4 linked regions of the Arabidopsis thaliana genome follow. The protein of the gene in region 1 purifies or fractionates together with the protein of each later gene. This does not show direct contact. Each region holds a gene or a part of one and is shown on either strand. Other genes may lie near its edges. The genes, in order: CKA3, EIF2 GAMMA, AT1G62870 and AT4G18330.

Region 1 (4,491 bases):
GTCGATTCAGGTGATCACTTATTACTTTATATCATCGTCTTCGAAATCATCGAAATATTACAATTATTGGTTACTAGAATCAGCTTTTCTTAATAAGAATCCAATTATTATTAGTCCTTTGGAATTGTTTATGTAGTCATGAAACGTAAGTTTAATTGTCTCATGTTGATGCACAATTTCTTGTTGATCCTGAAGCTTTGTGTTAATGAACTTGTTATTTCTTGTTGATCCTGAAGCTTTGTGTTATATTAACTTGTTATTTGTTGATGTGTGTGTTTATATAGTGCAAGGTTTGTATGCAAACATTCATCTGCACGACATCGGAAGTGAAATGCAGGGAGCACGCGGAGGCGAAGCATCCGAAAGCCGATGTTGTCGCTTGTTTCCCTCACCTCAAGAAGTGATGAAAGCTATTATCTCAACTATAAAGGATTCCAATGTATAACGTATGGATCCTCATCTTTCCTATGTTTGTATCAAAGTCTCGACAAATTTTATGGTTTCTATTTCTCTCTACTTGTTTCAACAATAAGTCTCTTGCTATGATTATATAATGAAGCTTTGTGTGGAACCTTTTTTTTTAATATAAGTTGGCTTCTTTTCGCTGTTGATTATGTTTCTATGAAAGTAAAGATTACCACAATTTTGATACAACAAAATCATTACAAAGTTTTTGGTTGAAAAATAGTAGTAAGCATCATCAATCAAGCTTCGGTTTTACTGAGTTCGTAGTCTGCTGCTCTCTGCGGCTTTAACTTGAGCGAAGTATGGATGATCCTATAGATCAATAGAGAAACCAGAGATTATAAGTTTGACTTGATCATCGGGTAAAACAAAATCAAAAGATGTGTGCACATGAAGATCATCGGGTAAAACAAAATCAAAAGATGTGTGCACATGAAGAGGATTTTTACCATGGCTTCTCTTGCGGTTAATCTGTCTTGATGATCATACTGAAGAAGCTTATCGAGAAAATCAATTGCCTAAAGATGTATACAATGAGTCAATACACCCAGAACGAAGCAAAACTATGTTTTTCGAAAAAGAGTAGTACCTCAGGTGAGACCAAATGTTGGTTGTCCGCGTTGATAAACTTGGACCATGGTTTGGGGACATGTCTACAAATAAGAGTGACTTCAGGTTTTAACTCATTGGTATAAAATTAACTGAGCCAGAGTTGAGAACAGCAACAATTTTGACTTTTAAAGACAGAGAGATTCAGGGATGGAATAAAACCTTCCAACAAGTGCTTCCAGTTGAGGGTCAAGATCTAGCTGATATTTGTTTAGGTAATGATCTAACTCATTGGTTCCCAACACCTATGCACACGTTTCAATCAGAAATCATATACATGGATTTAAGTTTACAATGTAATTTTATGCCAATAAGTCATAGACTAGCAATATACCTTGGCAATTTTGACAAGTTGATCATGATTATCATGGCCATAAAAGAACGGTTCCTTACGGAATATCTGCAGCATCAATATTTGACAAGTGAATAAGCAACAGCAAAGTATTAACGACTACCATTCGGAAATTCAAATGCTTGCAATAGCTTCAGCATTGAAGCTAGAGAGAAGAGTGAGGGGATTATTAGTTCTCACCATGCCAGCAAACATGCAACCAAGACTCCACATGTCTAAAGAATAGTCATAATCCTGTAGATCAACTAAAAGCTCGGGACCCTTGAAGTATCTGGCAATTAATTCACAGGTTTTTAGTCTAATGCATTTAACAACTACAAGAAGCTTTGATTGCACAGCTAAAAGTTTCAATCATTGGCATCTACGAATGACCCTCTTAGGCTTGCCAAGACAGGTGGAATTAAGCTGTGGTATCGGATATTACCTCGAGGCCACGCGAACATTATACTCTTTTCCGGGATGGTAAAACTCAGCAAGGCCCCAATCTATCAGACGAAGTTTACGCAGCTGATGATCTATCATGACATTATGAGGCTTAACATCCCTATGCATTATTCCTTGAGAGTGACAGAAATCCAATGCCTGAAATGCAATAACATCAGCTCTGGATTCCACGATAAACATTTGTATGTACGGTAAAAGTCATTTATGGTAAATACCGATACATTACCTTCAGAAGCTCATAAATATAGTACCGGATATCGTAATCAGTCAATGTTGGATACAATACTTTAAAGTCCACACTGTTGACAAACTCAAATACCAAGCTAGGTGTTTTGGAGTGCTCATCTCTAACAATATCATACAGCTTAACAATATTTGGTCCACCACATAGGTTCTGAAGTATTTTGATCTCTCTCTTTATCTGCATAACATCAAGTTTCAGCAAAATTAGCCATCTTTATGTATGCAAATTCATCAGAAATGAGTTCTACTAACTGATCACCTTCTTCTTTTTTACGGGTTTGAGGATCTTGATAACGCAACGCTCATTCGTATTGACGTTTTTGCCTTCGAAAACTTCACTGTATTTTCCTCTACCAACTTTTCTCACAACCTCATAATCATCTTGATGACTGAAGAATCACACAAAAGTATTTAAGAATCTCACACTGTTGAATTTCAAAATCCAATATTTGCTAATAGATACTTAAAACAAAGTGTCTTCAAGAGACCTAAGTCCAAACCCTAAAAAATTCCAATTTCTCTGATTTCGAATTCGATTTGGCAACAAATCAATCAAATTCCACCGAAAATTTATCAAAAAGAAGTCAAAAATCGTAAATTCATCAAAGAAAAATTCTAAAGCTAGAAGTTTTACCCCCATTGAACAACGAGAGACTCGTAGTCCCAATACTCTTTAGGACGAACAACGTTAACATCTGTATAAACCCTAGCTTTCGACATCAATTTCGATCTGAAAAAATGGAGAAATTTGCGATCGCAATCTTCTCTTTGATCGTCAGGTTTGTTTCAAGTGGACGATGATGATGACAACAGAAGAAGTGCGTTGTGCAGGATTAGAAAAAGGTTGAAGAAGAATCTCTGATACCCAAAAACCACCTAAACCAAATCGAACCGATTCAACCACACTCGAACCGAAACAAACCCAATCGGATCGATTTCAATCACACTATAACCGGACCGAATTGTTTAAACGACATCGTTTCGAAGAGAAGCCAAAGAAAAAGAAAGGAGAGAAATAAAGCAAATTCGTTACCTTCACTTTTCATTTTCTGAATAAGAGTTAAAAAAAGACATTAATGGCCTTAAGGCCTTGTACTGGATTCACAATCTCCTCTCTTCGCAACGCTTCCGCCGCCAACAACAATCTCTTCTCTCTCCTCTCCTTCTCTTCGTCGTCTCCGGCGAAGAGGAATCTTCTTCTCTCTTCGCTCCAGGACAATCTCCGTCGTTTCGCATCCAGCGCTTCTCTTTACCGTCAACATCTCCGGAATCAACAACAACAACATCAGCAACAACAGCAATCGCGCGTGAAAGAAAAATCAGAAACGCTGGCTCAGAAGATCGGTAAATCTATCCGGCGTGCCGGTGCGCCGTCGAAAGCTAGGGTTTACGCTGATGTCAACGTTGTTAGACCTAAGGACTATTGGGATTACGAGTCCCTTGCTGTTCAATGGGGGTATATCTTCAGATTCTTCTCTAATTAAACCTAATTACGTCGATTTCTAGATGTTTGCCTTTGGTTATAGATTGGTTTGGGATTGGTTGTTCTGGAATCAATGTGGAATGTAGATTTAGGGTTTCGTTTCATATTTTTGATTGATGATATAATCTCGTAAGTAATGCAGAATTGGTATCTGATTTGTTTGTATTGGTATCTGTTTTGTTTGTATATAATCTCTTGAAAATTGCTGGTCTATGTGAACTAGATTGTTGAATTGATATCTTGAGTTTGTATGGTGTTGTTACTGTTTGGTGTATTAGTGTTTGAGTTAGCTTCATTGATGCCGCAGTGTACAGGATGATTATGAGGTGGTGAGGAAGGTAGGAAGGGGAAAATACAGTGAGGTCTTTGAAGGCATTCATGCTACTGATAACGAGAAATGTGTTATCAAGATTTTGAAGCCTGTGAAGAAGAAGAAGGTGAGTAGATACAGCCGCTTGCTTGTTTTTATCTCAATTGTGCTCAGAATGAAGTGTGTTTCTGGCCCTTCACTTGGTTTGAATTATTCTCTAACATATTTTGCTTCTCCTTGACGCAGATTAAGAGAGAGATTAAGATTCTGCAGAACCTCTGCGGTGGGCCTAATATTGTAAAATTGCTCGACATTGTTAGAGATCAGCAGTCTAAGACGCCCAGCTTGATATTTGAACATGTGAACAATAAAGATTTCAAAGTTCTCTATCCAACTCTCTCAGACTATGATGTTCGATATTACATTTTTGAACTTCTAAAGGTAATTATTCAGTTTCCTGAATTGTAGACCATGATTTTCTTTGCGGCTTTGGCAATTGGCAAAAGTAATCGGTAGATATATCATAGATGTATAGCGTCATACACTGTTGTTTACCTTACTTGACTTTTGAATCCACTAGCCTTC
Region 2 (5,364 bases), on another chromosome or scaffold:
TCCATGACATTATTCTGTTTTCAAATCCTCAAATTCTCATATGTTTCATGGTGTACAGGTTCCTTTGGTACTCATCCAGAAGATACACACTCAAACTTTCTCGTTCGTCAATGTGCAACTATTTAACAGGTAAATAATACTTGAGAATTACATCTAATGGTTTCTACACACCTTATCATCGATACTCGTCAAAGTACAAACCTTCCTATGGTTGATATTTCTCAAATTCCTATGGAAGATATAAGCCAAGATCACTAGTGTTTTCTTACTTGGTTTTTTCCTTAACATCTTACAATAGCCTTCTACTGCGTAAAGAGTGTTGTACATTCAGCAATGGAGAATTTGTAAAGTCTGGGCTTGCAGAGCTAGAATTGTGGTGCGGCCAAGTCAATGAAGTAAGTTCCTACCTCACGTTTTCCTTCCGGAAAAAGTTTCTTTCGGCTCATTATATCATTCTTTGATTTTGCAGTATGCTGGGCCATCTTGGGATGAACTGAAACACATCAGACAAGCTGTTGGGTTCCTGGTATGTTTTACTCTTGTTTAATACTAACTTGTGGAACTCTTGTTTCTTGAATCTTCAAAAACGAATACTTCTCCTCTCGTAACTTATCAGGTTATCCACCAGAAGTACAGAGTATCATACGATGATATAGTACATGATCTTTGCCCGGTAAAGCTCCTTCTTAGTTTCTAGAAACACGTTTTTGCCTAGACTCCATACTTAATGGCTTTCTTGTTTCACTTTATTACAGATCCTTAGTGTCCAACAACTTTACCGGATATGCACATTATACTGGGACGACTGCTATAACACCCGAAGTGTGTCTCAAGAGGTAATATCGAGCATGCGTGCGCTCATGACAGAAGAATCCAACGATGCCGACAGCAATTCCTTCTTGTTGGATGATAATTCCAGGTAACTCGAATCATTTCTTAAAGATTAATATCAGTAGTAGAAACTAAAACCGGTTTATTGTTCGCAGCATTCCCTTCTCAATAGACGAGATTTCGAATTCGATGCACGAAAAAGACTTTGCGAGTGTCAAACCGGCCAAAGAGCTACTGGAAAACCCAGAATTCGTATTCTTGCACTAGTGAGAAGCTCGGATTCTAAAAAAGCTCTTCCTCTGTTTCTTTTTAGTCTGAGTGGGGGAGGGGTGCCTTCTTGAACCAAAAGGAAAGAAGATTACAAAAGTGTAAATTTTTACTTCTTGTGGGGTTGTTTCTTTCTTGCAAAACCTCTGTGATTTCTCTCTCACCAATTCATTCATTTATTTATTTGACCCCATTTCAAAGTTTTTTCTCCATTTTAGACCCAAGATTATTATCTGGTTTTTTTTTTTCACGGCTCAAGTTCTACACGATGAAGATCCTTTGTTGTTGTTGTACAGAATTAATCTACTTAATTTGTTATAAACTTGCCCCAACTCTTTTCAGTGATTTTTTTTTAAAAAATTTGGGACTCAATCAAACTCCATTACACCTGGTGATATTGGTTTAAAACCAACGTTTCTGACTTCAACAGCCGAGATTCAAAGACTTCAAAACCTTCCAAAAAAAAACAAATTCATAACTGGTTCGGAAAGATAAATTGACAAACCCGAGAGAGATAGAGGAACACGAACGCTTATAGTCGATCGCAAATAGGCCTTTCACTTGAGGTGTCTGTCTCAAGTTCGAATTCTAAAAGTTTTATGGTTTTTTTTGTTTAACTGTGTTTTATGTTGGGCCAAATTGTTTTTTGCTTTTAGGCATTAAATTTAGTCGGGCCGGCCCTGCACATAAAATTAATATGATGAAATGTTTTGGGTTTGATACTTTGATTCATAGAAAAAGTAAATTAGTCTCTACTGATAGTAATTTAATTAAATACTAGTATTTCATTATTTTGTAAGAAATTTTAGAAAGGGAAAAAAAAAAAAGGTTACGCGAAGGAAACCAAAAACCCTTTAGGGACTTGGATAGAAAAAAAAAAACCATTTTGTGCATCTTCTTCAAGCTGCGCCGCTTTCTCACTCTTTTTTATCTCTCAAATTTGACCTTCTCCGTTGTTCTTTCGCATCGCTCAGGTTCGTTTCGATCTCGAATTACATCTCCTACGGATTCAATATTTGTTCAACCTAATTGTTCCCATTTCTATCGCACGAAGATTAGTTCGGGGAATCTAATCGTAATCATAATGTTTTTTTAGATTGCGAATCGAAATTATTGTGATATTTAGGTAACGGAGCTCAGGTATAGAATCTGTGTGTCGACTTGATTAGGGCAGATGTAGAAAAACCTGAGAAGTAGTCTTTTTCAGATTAACTAGGGTTAGGGTTCTGATTTGATGCTCGGTTTTAAGCAGGAGCAGAAGCTTCAATCTTTGATAATGTCGAGGAACAAGGGTTTGGCTGAGCAAGATCTTAAAAAATTGGATGTAACTGTGCTACATCCTCTGTCTCCTGAGGTCATTTCTCGCCAGGCCACTATTAATATAGGTAACGCTTTTTTGAGTCTTTTATATAAGTTGATGTTGAAGAAACTGGCAGTTCCTATAAGCTAAAGATGATAGTGTTATGTTTCAGGAACCATTGGTCATGTCGCTCATGGAAAGTCCACTGTTGTTAAAGCTATTTCTGGTGTCCAGGTAAAATTTGATTATGCGGTTTTCACAATTGTAATCCTAGAGGCTTTTCTAGCTTGCAGCGTTTGATCAATTGGAGTGGGTGAAGTGATTTCTATGGTTTCCTTATCTTCTCTGTACAGACTGTCCGTTTTAAAAATGAATTGGAGCGTAACATTACCATTAAGCTTGGATATGCAAACGCCAAGATTTACAAATGTGAGGATGAGAAATGCCCTAGACCAATGTGCTACAAGTGAGTCCTTCTTACAACAGTGTTTTTATCTTCTACTTCTACTATAAGGTTTGAGTCAAGGTCTAACAACTTATCTGTTGTATTAGGGCCTACGGAAGTGGAAAGGAAGACACTCCCAATTGTGATGTCCCCGGATTTGAAAACTCCAAGATGAAACTATTGAGGCATGTCTCATTCGTTGATTGCCCGGTATGATGAGTTTTACCGTTATCTTTATTCTTCATTAATTACCATTTTCATTTGATAGTATAAGTGTATAACCATTTCATGTGTCAATGAGCTGTTCGTTTATTGTGTATTATCGATGTTGTTGTGCTCCACCTGCATGATTTTGGGTCTCTCATTTAATTGGGTGAAGGGCTTAAAGAGTGAGGGTTGATGGAGAAGTATTCATTGATGTTTCCATCTTTTGCTTTTCTTATCTCTACTTCATTCTTGTTGAATGTATTCTTGTTCTATTCTTCAGGGTCACGATATTCTCATGGCAACAATGCTTAATGGAGCAGCCATCATGGATGGTGCACTACTTTTAATCGCTGCAAATGAAACTTGTCCACAACCACAAACGTCTGAACATCTTGCTGCCGTTGAGATTATGCAACTTAAGCATATCATCATCCTTCAGAACAAGATTGATCTTATTCAAGAGAATGTTGCCATTAATCAGCACGAGGCAATTCAGAAATTTATAATGGTTAGGTTTTCTTATCTCTTAAGGATCTGTTGTAGCATTCTCATTTCGTCACTTGGTTAAGCTAAGTATTGAAGAACTTGGTTCTAAAATTTCTTTCACATCCTGTTGCAGAACACTGTTGCTGATGCTGCTCCGATCGTCCCTGTCTCAGCACAACTGAAATACAACATTGATGTGGTGTGCGAGTACATTGTCAAGAAGATCCCAATCCCTGAGAGGAATTTTGTGTCACCCCCAAATATGATAGTGATTCGGTCTTTTGATGTCAACAAACCTGGTTATGAGGTTGATGAGATCAAAGGTGGAGTTGCAGGTGGAAGTATCCTACGGGTATCTATTCTCTCTCTCTCCCTTTCTCTTGTTGTGCCTCTTAAGTACATCAAGCTTTATATGGTGTAATCAGTATCTCTTAACTACATGTATATTGTAGGGTGTTTTGAGAGTCAACCAATTAATCGAAATCCGACCTGGTATCGTTACCAAAGACGAGCGTGGCAACTCAAAATGCACTCCAATTTACTCTCGCATCATTTCACTCTACGCGGAACAGAACGAGCTTCAGTTTGCTGTTCCTGGAGGTCTAATAGGAGTTGGAACAACAATGGACCCAACTCTCACTCGTGCAGATCGATTAGTTGGTCAAGTCCTTGGTGAAATCGGTTCACTTCCTGATGTATTTGTTGAACTCGAGGTATAAACAACTCCTCACAACCATACTCTTCAGTCTTTATGGTCCTAATGGGTCTCTTAGTGTATTTTCTCCTTTTAATTTGTGGTTATGTAAAATCTGTAGGTGAACTTCTTTCTTCTACGACGTTTGTTGGGAGTGAGAACAAAGGGATCAGAGAAACAAGGGAAAGTGTCAAAGCTAACGAAAGGAGAGATTCTGATGCTCAACATTGGTTCGATGTCCACTGGAGCCAAAGTTGTAGGAGTTAAAGTCGATCTGGCTAAACTGCAACTGACTGCGCCTGTTTGTACCAGCAAAGGAGAGAAAGTGGCTCTAAGCAGACGTGTGGAAAAGCATTGGCGTTTGATTGGTTGGGGTCAGATTCAAGCTGGAACCACCATCGAAGTTCCTCCTTCACCTTTCTAAGCTATGTGTTATTTTTGTCCTTTTTGTTTGTGTTTCTGAAAAAAAGATTGTTAAACCCCTCAAAAAGATAATAAAACTCTTTTTCTCGTTGGGGGATTTTGGAGAGTTCGTCTTTGCGGATTAAACATCTTCAAACAGTACCTGATTTGTTATTGTTACTAGTTTGCTCTTTGTTATTGTTACTAGTTTGCTCTTTGTTTGTGTTTTTCTCTTAGATATTACTAAATTTTGTTGTCTCTCTTTTTTTTTTTGAAATTTTTGTCAGAGATACTCTGCTACTTGACTATACATACTTTCTTCAGAAAAGGAACAACTTCATTACTCATTAGGATCCGATCAAGTACGACTTTTTATAATAAATACGACTTTTTAGTCAAAATGTTCATGTCTTCTCTCTAAAGAACGTTATTTGTTTGCGATTTGAATTGAGTGTCTTGCCTTCCACTGTGTATATCCGTGCGAAAACTTATGTTACATAGACGGGACTGCAGAGGCAGCAAGTCTCCATTCGGCTCATCTGGAACTGTCTCAACAACACTTGCATTTGTGGTTCGCCTTCCCATTGAAATGAGAAGAATCGCTGACTGTGTTCCAAAGTGATGGGTTAACATGCCAACCTTTCATGCAGGGAAACAAGTTTAGTTACCTAGACTCCCGCAACAAATACTTGCACAAATTGAAACTCTGGAAGAAGATAAACCCGAATGGTA
Region 3 (5,231 bases), on another chromosome or scaffold:
CTTTCCTAGTGGGGGATCCACATTTTTTGAGAAAAGATTTTAAAGAAACTACTCGATAGATTGATAAGTTAGATAGATAGATAATCGTAATCATAGTTGAAGTGAACCCGAAAACCCGGTTCAGTTCTTAGGTGACAAAAAGGTCTACATCTTTCGTCGTCGACATCAATAGAGACTAACATGTTATGATGAAGCAAGAACGTGAAAAATGTTCAAAAATAAAATGTTTTATTAAGTCAATTTCTTGAAATGGAAAAGACATTGTTTTGAGTCATGATTAAGAATATTAACGTTAATGAAAAAAGAACAAAAGAACAACAGAACAAAAGAGATCATTACAATGTACAATACAGAAGATGAATGAAGCTGTCGTTGAATCTTCTGTTGATGCCATTAATGTTCTTAACTACAACCTTGGACCTTTTGAACCAATAGATTGATGATGATCACGACGAGAGGTCGATTCACATTAGATTTCATTGCTACGCAAACCAAATGTGTGCAGAAACATGAAACTTCTAATGGTAATATGATATAGACAAGAACTTTACAAGAGTCGCTTGTATGCAAGAATTTCAAAATCAGTCTCAAGATCATTGCTTAAGTTCGAAAAAAGACACGGAAAAATTGCCTAAAATTATGATCAAAATAGACTAAAAGAAATACAATGATATGGCTCTCTTTCTCACCTCCTAAAGGAGCCAAGTACAAATTGAATTAAGGGTAGTAAAAAAAAAAGTTAACAACAAAAAAAATGAATTCAAGCAATCCTACAAAATGGCCAAGTTCTAGTGAAAAACTAAATTTGGTAAAAATTAACAAGTCACACTGAGGATGTATCGATGAGAACATCGTTTAGCACATCATCTTCGCCATTCGCCATAGCGAGCAGCTCCGCATCTCTCTCTTCCTCGTTGGAGAAGTCTCTCCTTTCGAATTTCGAGTTAGCGGATATAAAGATCAACTTTTGAGCTCGATCCACGGCTGCGCGTGATCTTCCATTCGAATTTACCCATCTCAAAACAGAGGAATTGCATTTGAAACCACAAGAAGTTGCATGGAGAAAAATAAGCCTAACTGCAACTCTCCCCAATGACCTGAACTCACTAAGATAAGTTTCCCAAACAAGTCTACTACTTTGTGGATTAGCTATCCTCATTTTCCCCGAAACAGGATCTCTCTCCTTCATTTGAACCGCCCTTGCGTAAACCGGATCAAGCCCTTCTGTTCTCCATTTCATCAGCTCCATCATCGCGATATGTGCCTCGTCTCTAGACACAAGCCTTGTTATTAACTTATCAACATCTTTCTCTTGCTCCGGGGACAAGCATTTGAATGGAGGAAGATATTTTCCGCTACTGTCTTTTATCAAGTAAAGCGGATCAAGTATAAACGCCGCAGCCCAAGCTGGGTGATAACTCTTCTTGAATCTTCTCTCAACGATCTTCTCTACTTGCCTCTCTTCAACAACATTGAACTTTGCATACCAATCTTTTATCTTGGACCTTAGCTCATCCCATAGCGGTAAACATTGCCCTACCAAAGGCCTCTCTTCCTCTATTCTCCGAGCCATTTCTTTAACAAGCTTCAACAACAAATAAACCGCCTCTACCTCGTTCCAAAACCCGACATCTCCAACCATTTCACCAACCTCTCTAGCCATATGATCCTCCATTAGAACAGCCTTACACACATCATCATGCATCACCAGCTGAATCGCTCTAGCGAAACTAAGCACATCCTCAAGGAGATTATACAATGGCTCAAACAAAGAACTATCCAAAGGCAAATGCAGCATCCTAGTCTCTCCTTGCTCTTGCAACTGATACTTACAAACCGCGTTTCGGATCTGTGCCGTGCTGTTCACGAAATTAACGAGCCTCGAGCAGCTTTGAGAGACGGATTTAAACAAAGGAAGCTCTTTTACAAAATCTCGAATCAAACTGTTGAAACCTTGAAACTGACAAGAGAGATTCACCATCCATTGATGCTGGCTCTCAAGATTCCTCAATGCCTTACTCATAAACCTATCTGAAACAATCCCAACACACCTCTGAGGTGAATTACCACAAATACCCCTCACCGTCTCCCACAAAACCTCCTCTGCGTAATTAGACGGCACAGCTCCGTTCACAAACACAGCTCGTCTATACAAACTCGTCCCATTAGGCAAATTCACAATCAAATTCACCAAATTCTCGCCGGAGCTGTCGAATTTCCATCCATCAGAAGCAATCTGAAAGAACATTGCGTCGTGGATTCTCGATTCAGCCTCTGCTCTCGAATCTTCATACTTCAAATCCAATCTTCCGGTGACAAAATCTCTCCTTGAGATGATCGGTAAACCAACTTGCGTCAAAAAAGCTCTCAACTTTGGATGCTCGAGACCAGATAAAGAAACAGAGCCACAAGATTCAAAAACCCAATCAGAGAGAGAATCTAACGCAGAATCTATCTGAGCTTTAGTTAGATTCCGCGTCTGAGAAGTTTTAGGACTCTTGAGCTTCTTCACACTATCTTCAAGCATAGCTAATGGACCCAAATCGTCTTTTCCACCGGAAAGCATCAAATGCGGCTGCTGTGTAACCGGAAACTGCCCACAGAATCTCGAGGGATCAACGACACTAAGAGGCGTCACATTATAAGACCCTTGATGATGATGATGAGGATGATGATGATGATGATTCAGAGCTTCCACGGCGGAGGAATTACGTTTCCGGTGAGAAGAAGACGGAGGAGGAGGAGGAGAAGGAGAGATTGTGGAGATGGGTTTAGGTAAAGAGTTGAAATTTGGACAAGTTCCACGTTTAAGATGCTCAGAAGCAGTTCGGGAAGGATTAGAAGCTGAGAAAACGGCGTCGCATAAAGAACATCGGAGTTTAACGGCTTTAGGGAAACCAGTGTCGGTGTTGTGTAGTAAGATTGGTTCAAGGTGACTCCAATACCACGCGCCTTTGCCTTTAACTGCTTTTGTTCTTACCATCATTAATCCTTCGTAACGCTTTTGTAACGCCTTTGTCGCTAATTCTTCCGCCGACGGTTGTTGCGTTGGTGATTGCGTTTGCGTTTGCTGTTGTGTCGCCGTTGTTGTTGCGTTTGTCGTCGTCGCCATTGTAAAGTCAAAAAACTTAAACAACAACCCTGAACGAAATTAAGCTGAGACTAGTGGATTTTGATGAAATTGAAGAGAAAATTTCGCCGGCGGTCGGAGATAACTCCGGCGGTTCCTCATAACAGAGAACAGAAATAGAAATAAATAAACTTTGTCTCTGTTTTTGCTTCACCTCTGAAAAAAAAAAAAAACTTTGTTCCTCTCTGCTCTGCTATCACACTGATAGTTTCTTTCGATTCTATTTTTTAAGAGACTGAGAAATTTCAAAAAGGAGAAGAAGAAGAAAGAAAGAGACAGTAGAGAGAGACAGAGAGAGGAAGGAGAAGAAAATAAGGGAGACAAAAGTGAATCTCACGCGCATAAGGTAAGCGCGTGTTTGTAACATTGAATGAAACGTTTGATAGGAACAAGGTGAGACCAGAGTCCCACGTCGTACGAGAACGGAAACAAAGCATTGGTTGTTTTAGTCTCTCACTTCACTCTCATTGGCACGTGATTCTCACGCTCTCCATAAAGGTATTTTTAATACTATATATTATTGGTTTTATACCTTTTTAATAAAAATAAATATCACTTTTTCAGTTTTTTTTAAAAAAATATTTTTGGATGTGTCTTGTTTTCATATTTTTCTGTTTTTTTTGAGTGAATTGTTGGGTTCTTGTGTGGAAGAGGTCTTCGTCTGTTTCCTCTTTTTCTAATTTATATGATTATAAAATATTGATCTACTATTGTATAGTATCAACTATTCCACGTAATCAAATTTGGTATATGATTCGTGTTATGAACTAACCCACCAATATAAATACTATTAACAGGGTAAATCATTCAATGACATAAGCAAAGCAGCTCACAAATTTAGTACTAAATCATTAAATGATTCTTTTAAAAGTAGATAATTGTGTGAAAGTGTTAGTAAATGAGTGAGTGAAAGACATGTTTTTTATTAATTTAATGTTTTTACTTTTTTTTTGGGTATAATTATGATTGTAAAAGAAGGAAAAATACAAAAAAATGATGAGTGGGGTTTCCATTTGTGTCTTGTTGTCTATGTGGGATATATTCAGAATGTGGGCATAAAAGGGCAACCTAGGAATTTAATTTGTTTCTTTAGGGACTGTGTCTCTCTGTGTGTGTGAGAGAGAGTTGTTGACCAAAAGGACATTCTTTAGTAAATACTTATTTATTATTTTCAGAATCCAGTAAAAAATATATTTATTGACTGTGACAAAAAAAATATTTTTGAATATAATTGGTTCAGTAATAAAGACATTTACTCACCATTACAATTTGTTTCTACTTGAAGTAGTATAATGCATGTTACATAGTATAATAGAAACTCTACTTTCATTTTTTTTGAAAAAACTATTAACTGGAAAATAAACTATTTTTTCTCAAGAAAAATTATAATTTTTTTTTGAAAGTTTACTACGAGTAATATTATTGCTAGTATTTTATTCCTGATAAAAAAAAATTCAATACAAAAATCAATATGTTTCAAACCACTATTATCATATTTCTTGTAAGAATGAAAACAAAATTTCCTGATTGTCATCCTGAGTTTTTGTATCAGTGACAAATAGTGACAATTTTTGTAATTTTTAGAATTCGTGAACATTTTTTTCTTTAATATAATTGACAAATGTTGTTGACAACAAAAATGGATAAATATAACATAATAAACCAACGTTTTTTTCCGTAATGTTTGTTTTGGACACTACATATGTTTAATCTGAGTTGTTTAATCTATTAGCATTATGGAATTGCATTGTTTGTCGTAGATGTGTTATTTTGATATTTTAGTAAATTCTCTTTAAATTTCTTACTTTTTCTACTGAAATAGTTGACTTTTACCCTATCCCTTTTTTACAACGACATATACTCTCTTTTCTTAACTGTCTTGTGTGGTATTCATGAGTCTTATGGTTGTTACAACACTCATCTCATGTTTTTCTTTAGTTGTTCTTTTTACTTATACCATTTTTTGTTAAGTTATTTACTTAGATTACCTATTTACTCTACAAATTATACAATATATAGTTATGATACATTACTTATCATAAAGTAGCTGTGGAATTTAGAAAATAATTATGCAAATTACGTAATTGATACTCCATTACTT
Region 4 (4,401 bases), on another chromosome or scaffold:
GGAGGTACGAATCCTTTGGGAAGCATAACCGAGAAAGTATCCTGTCGAACCGGACGGTTTAAACCGTTATTCTTCTTGGCCATCATCTTGAAGTAGCCAGCACGATGATGAAGACCACGGCGATGACGAAGAGTATGTCGATAGTAGTAGTAGTATTGGTGATTGTAACGACGACGACGGTGGTTGTCTCGTTGCAACCGCTGGTTCAAGATAAACGGTGTCGTTTTCTTGATGTAGACGAGTTGGTGCGGTGATTCGTAACCGTTGAGATAAGCTTCCGTTTTTTGTGTTGATGATACTCTTGTTTCTTGATTCGAAGATGATGATGATGGTGAGATGAGGAAGACGAGAGTGAGAATAAGAGAGACGATGAAGCTTTTTAGAAGACTCTGTTTCATCAAAACCAAATCTTCCATTGGGATTGAAAGAGAGTATAGGGTTTTGGCTGAGAGTAAGAGAGAGCGTAAAGATGAAACAAAAGCTCAGAACGAGGAGGGAATTAGAATTATATAATTCCTAATTAGTGATAAGTAATATCATTAATGAAATTATGAATTTGTTTTTTAAATTTTCGTCAATGTTGTGTTAAATATGAATATAGTTTTATATTGTAGTCGAAAGAAAGTGATTAAACATACAAAGGCACATGTTAATTATTTTTGAATGCAAACAATATAAAAAACTCATCACTACTTCATTAGAAAGGAGGAGGAGGAACATCGATGGTGGTTCCAGCCATAATCTGACCCTTACCAATTAGACGCCAATGCCTATCGACACGTCGGCTTAAAGCAACCTTCTCTCCTATGGTGGTACACACCGGAGACGTCAGTTGGAGTTTCACCATATCTTTCTTGACTCCAATAACCTTAGCTCCCGTAGACATAGACCCGATGTTCACCATCAATATCTCTTCTTTGGTTAGCTTTGACACTTTCATTTGCTTCTCTTTTTCCTTTGTCCTCACTCCAATGAGACGAGTCAGAAGCTGGTAACTTACTTCAAGCTCAACAAAGACGTCAGGGAGAGTACCCATTTCACCAAGGACTTGACCAACCAACCTATCAGCACGCGTAAGCGTAGGGTCCATGGTTGTTCCAACTCCGATTAGACCTCCCGGTACAGCAAACTGAAGCTCGTTCTGTTCCGCGTATAGTGAAGTTATACGCGAGTAAATTGGAGTGCATTTTGAGTTTCCATGCTCATCTTTGCCAGTGATACCAGGTCTAATTTCAATCAGTTGGTTCACTTTCAAAACACCCAAACAAAGAGAGACACATATTAATACTAAATTGTTTCACAGTCAGGTAAGAACAGAGGAGAAACAGAGAGATAAAAACATACCTGGAGGATACTTCCACCAGCAACACCACCTTTCATTTCATGACCCGCCGAGCCAGGTTTATTGACATCGAAAGAACGAATCACAATCATCTTTGGTGGTGACACAAAGTCTCTCACAGGGATTGGAATCTTCTTGACAATGTATTCACTCACAACATCAATGTTGTATTTCAGTTGTGCTGAGACAGGAACTATAGGTGCATCCTCAGCATTCGTGTTCTGCAACATTATATATGTGACAGAAAATATGAGAACCAAACTGATGAAGTCATGAAAGATTTAACAACAGAGAGATAAGAAAATTGATCAAACCGTTATAAATTTCTGAATAGCCTCGTGCTGTTCAGTGGCGGCTTTCTCATTAATGAGATCAATCTTGTTCTGAAGGATTATGATATGCTTAAGGCGCATCATATCAACAGAAGCAAGATGTTCAGCGGTTTGTGGTTGTGGACAACTCTCGTTAGCAGCAATTAGAAGTAAAGCACCATCCACGATTGCTGCTCCATTGAGCATTGTCGCCATAAGAATATCATGTCCCTGATGAATAAAAAACAACTCAGTTACATATAGCCAATGGTTCTAGTTTTGAGAGACAAAGTGTAAATTAAACTCATTAATACCGGACAATCGACACATGAGACATGTCTCCGTAGTGTCATCTTGCAATTCTCAAATCCGGGGACATCACAAGTTGGGTTGTCTTCTTTTCCACTCCCATATGACCTAAAATTAACAGATTAGCTGCTGCTACACATAATAACACTTAGCCTTATTATATCAAAAAGAAGATTATGACTCACTTGTAGCACATTGGTCTAGGGCACTTGTCATCCTCACACTTGTAAATCTTTGCATTTGCATAACCAAGCTTAATGGTAATGTTACGCTCTAATTCATTCTTAAAACGCACAGTCTGAACACCAGAGATAGCTTTCACTATAGTCGATTTACCGTGAGCGACATGACCAATGGTTCCTGAGATATATTTAGCACAGTATTGGTTTCTTTGACATCAAGTTATACTATAGACCTAGAGGAGCTGGCAAAAGCAGAGTGTAATTTACCGATATTTATGGTTGCTTGGCGAGAAATGACTTCAGGAAACAGAGGATGTAACTTTGTTACATCAAGCTTAGTTAGATCTTGCTCCGCCAAACCCTTGTTACGCGAAATTAACACAGATTGAACCATCTTTAATCCTGCTAAAACAACGAGATCAATGAAAATTCTGAAATCGATATTAGGGTTTATATACAAAACGATTTCATGCATACCTTGGTTTCTGTTCACAAAACACCACAATAATTTCGATACTCAGTCGATTCCGACAAACCTGAGTACTATAAAGTCTCGATTTTGTTTAATCAGTCTCTTACACTTTGTTGTCCGAAAAATGTTGAGCTCGCTCGATGACAGTTAAAGATTTGTAAGATTGGGGAAGAAGTTTACACGTGGAAGGTAAAAAATGTAGGGTTTTGTAAACCTTTTTTTCATTGCCTTATGATTAACTAGGCCCATTCTTATTATTAGTAAAACCATTAGCACCCAATACGGCCCAATATTGAAAACCTGTAAATTTAAACTCGAATTTGTAATCGGAGTTGAGTTTTTTTTGTAGAGGAGCCAAATAAGAGAACATCTTTTGTAGAATTTTTCATTTTACTCTTTGCTAAACAATTTTTTTAAAAAAAATATGTTTTACATATATTAACGAAGAGATGTACACCGAATTAAGAGTTCTTTGTTTGTCTATTAAGTTTAACGTAAAAATAAACAATAAAAGATCAGCATTTTTATAAACAAACCAAAGTAGAGTTTCTAACGAAACCACAATGAGTAGAGTTTGCAACACAATAAATAGAAATTAATACTAAAAATCTTAAACCACACAAATAAAAGATAGATAACGAAAACAATCACAGAGAAATAACTTAAAGAGTCAAGTGGTAGAACATTAGGCTAAGCGCGAACCTCAACCCAAACTCCGTCAGTGTAAGAAACGATTTGGTTGTTAGCACCCCAAGTGCGGTTTTTCACTCTCTCGCGATCAGTTTTAGTGCCGATAATGTCTAGAGTTTGTGGAAATATCTGAAGTCGATGTTTGATCTGATCAAAAGATTGGCCGTGGAAAGGATTCCATTCGATGGTATCATTCTCTTGAGTATTTGAGACATTCCAATTTTGGGTTCGGAAGGTGAAGTCAAGAGTATGGCCCCATAAAATAATTGATATTTTGTCCACAGATGGGGAGAGGGAATCTATAGTCGAACCACAAATTGGATGGTTGAAGGTAGGGATACGAGTCACTGACCAGTTCTGATCCCAGTCTCCGTTACTCTTGGCTACATAATATATTTGTCGACTAGGAGCATGCATATGCGCTATCACCATATGATTATTTTCGTGAAAGCTATCGGCTAGGAGACAAGCATAAGTGTTGTCTTGACGGGGATCTCCGGTGAGCACACCGTAACGGATCACACATGGGTTATCAGTGGTGAGAAGGGGTAGTTGGTACCGTTGTGAAGTGAACGGGTTGTATAAGAAAGCTTGGTGGTCTTGACGTCGGTGTATGGCACTGGAGTTGGACATAACAACCCAACCCAATGTTGATCCTAAGAATTTGGCCCCTTCAAGATATGGGTCTTTCCCATGATGTAGCTCCTCTCTCACAGGGTCATAGAAATGGGCAACTCGGGATCCCCTTTCACGGTACAACAACCACGGCCTTTCCTCTACGAAACCTCCTTCACGGAAAGAAAGAAATGTGTTCCTCCAATGAGTGTTGACACCTCTTAGTGCCCCACCTTCGGTAAAGTTAGGGTTAAGCAAATTTGTAGAACTTCTGAGGAGATCTTGAGGCAAACTTCCCCATGAATCCCTGCGAGAGAAACAAATTTGAGAGAAGTGAGATGAGAGCATAAACTATAAGAATTAACAAATAAGAACTGGAAGATTATTTTTTTTTTAAAGATGTTCTCAAAAATCCCTCCAAAAAATGAGATGAAACCAAGAAAAATAATTTTGAGAGAAATGAAATCTGATAGCAGAAGG

The links.
Region 2: the proteins of CKA3 (region 1) and EIF2 GAMMA fractionate together in Arabidopsis thaliana (co-fractionation; one large-scale study listed by BioGRID). This does not show direct contact.
Region 3: the proteins of CKA3 (region 1) and AT1G62870 fractionate together in Arabidopsis thaliana (co-fractionation; one large-scale study listed by BioGRID). This does not show direct contact.
Region 4: the proteins of CKA3 (region 1) and AT4G18330 fractionate together in Arabidopsis thaliana (co-fractionation; one large-scale study listed by BioGRID). This does not show direct contact.

Annotation. Positions count from the first base shown.
Region 1 is NC_003071.7:9,825,570-9,830,060, reverse strand, and holds CKA3 (Protein kinase superfamily protein), read right to left. Parts: upstream 2,958-4,491; 5' UTR 2,834-2,957; coding exon 2,748-2,833; intron 2,503-2,747; coding exon 2,373-2,502; intron 2,292-2,372; coding exon 2,097-2,291; intron 2,009-2,096; coding exon 1,851-2,008; intron 1,698-1,850; coding exon 1,607-1,697; intron 1,475-1,606; coding exon 1,409-1,474; intron 1,320-1,408; coding exon 1,237-1,319; intron 1,119-1,236; coding exon 1,055-1,118; coding exon of another isoform or gene 1,004-1,054; exon of another isoform or gene 984-1,003; coding exon 915-983; intron 778-914; coding exon 718-777; 3' UTR 524-717; downstream 1-523. Other genes in the region: AT2G23090 (Uncharacterized protein family SERF), read left to right, coding at 1-10, 285-404; AT2G23070 (Protein kinase superfamily protein), read left to right, coding at 3,190-3,569, 3,904-4,033, 4,153-4,347. UniProt on the Arabidopsis thaliana protein: Casein kinases are operationally defined by their preferential utilization of acidic proteins such as caseins as substrates. The alpha chain contains the catalytic site. The tetrameric holoenzyme CK2 is composed of two alpha and two beta subunits.
Region 2 is NC_003070.9:1,095,049-1,100,412, forward strand, and holds EIF2 GAMMA (eukaryotic translation initiation factor 2 gamma subunit), read left to right. Parts: upstream 1-1,833; 5' UTR 1,834-2,072; exon of another isoform or gene 2,073-2,238; intron 2,239-2,350; 5' UTR 2,351-2,374; coding exon 2,375-2,483; intron 2,484-2,570; coding exon 2,571-2,632; intron 2,633-2,751; coding exon 2,752-2,864; intron 2,865-2,950; coding exon 2,951-3,053; intron 3,054-3,330; coding exon 3,331-3,558; intron 3,559-3,669; coding exon 3,670-3,888; intron 3,889-3,988; coding exon 3,989-4,249; intron 4,250-4,351; coding exon 4,352-4,654; 3' UTR 4,655-4,853; downstream 4,854-5,364. Other genes in the region: XIB (myosin XI B), read left to right, coding at 59-129, 299-395, 470-526, 617-673, 756-919, 987-1,098.
Region 3 is NC_003070.9:23,283,397-23,288,627, forward strand, and holds AT1G62870 (uncharacterized protein), read right to left. Parts: upstream 3,402-5,231; 5' UTR 3,113-3,401; coding exon 824-3,112; 3' UTR 516-823; downstream 1-515.
Region 4 is NC_003075.7:10,124,884-10,129,284, reverse strand, and holds AT4G18330 (Translation elongation factor EF1A/initiation factor IF2gamma family protein), read right to left. Parts: upstream 2,707-4,401; 5' UTR 2,622-2,706; intron 2,550-2,621; 5' UTR 2,539-2,549; coding exon 2,412-2,538; intron 2,323-2,411; coding exon 2,148-2,322; intron 2,071-2,147; coding exon 1,968-2,070; intron 1,885-1,967; coding exon 1,657-1,884; intron 1,564-1,656; coding exon 1,345-1,563; intron 1,262-1,344; coding exon 698-1,261; 3' UTR 551-697; downstream 1-550. Other genes in the region: AT4G18335 (uncharacterized protein), read right to left, coding at 1-416; AT4G18320 (uncharacterized protein), read right to left, coding at 3,307-4,269.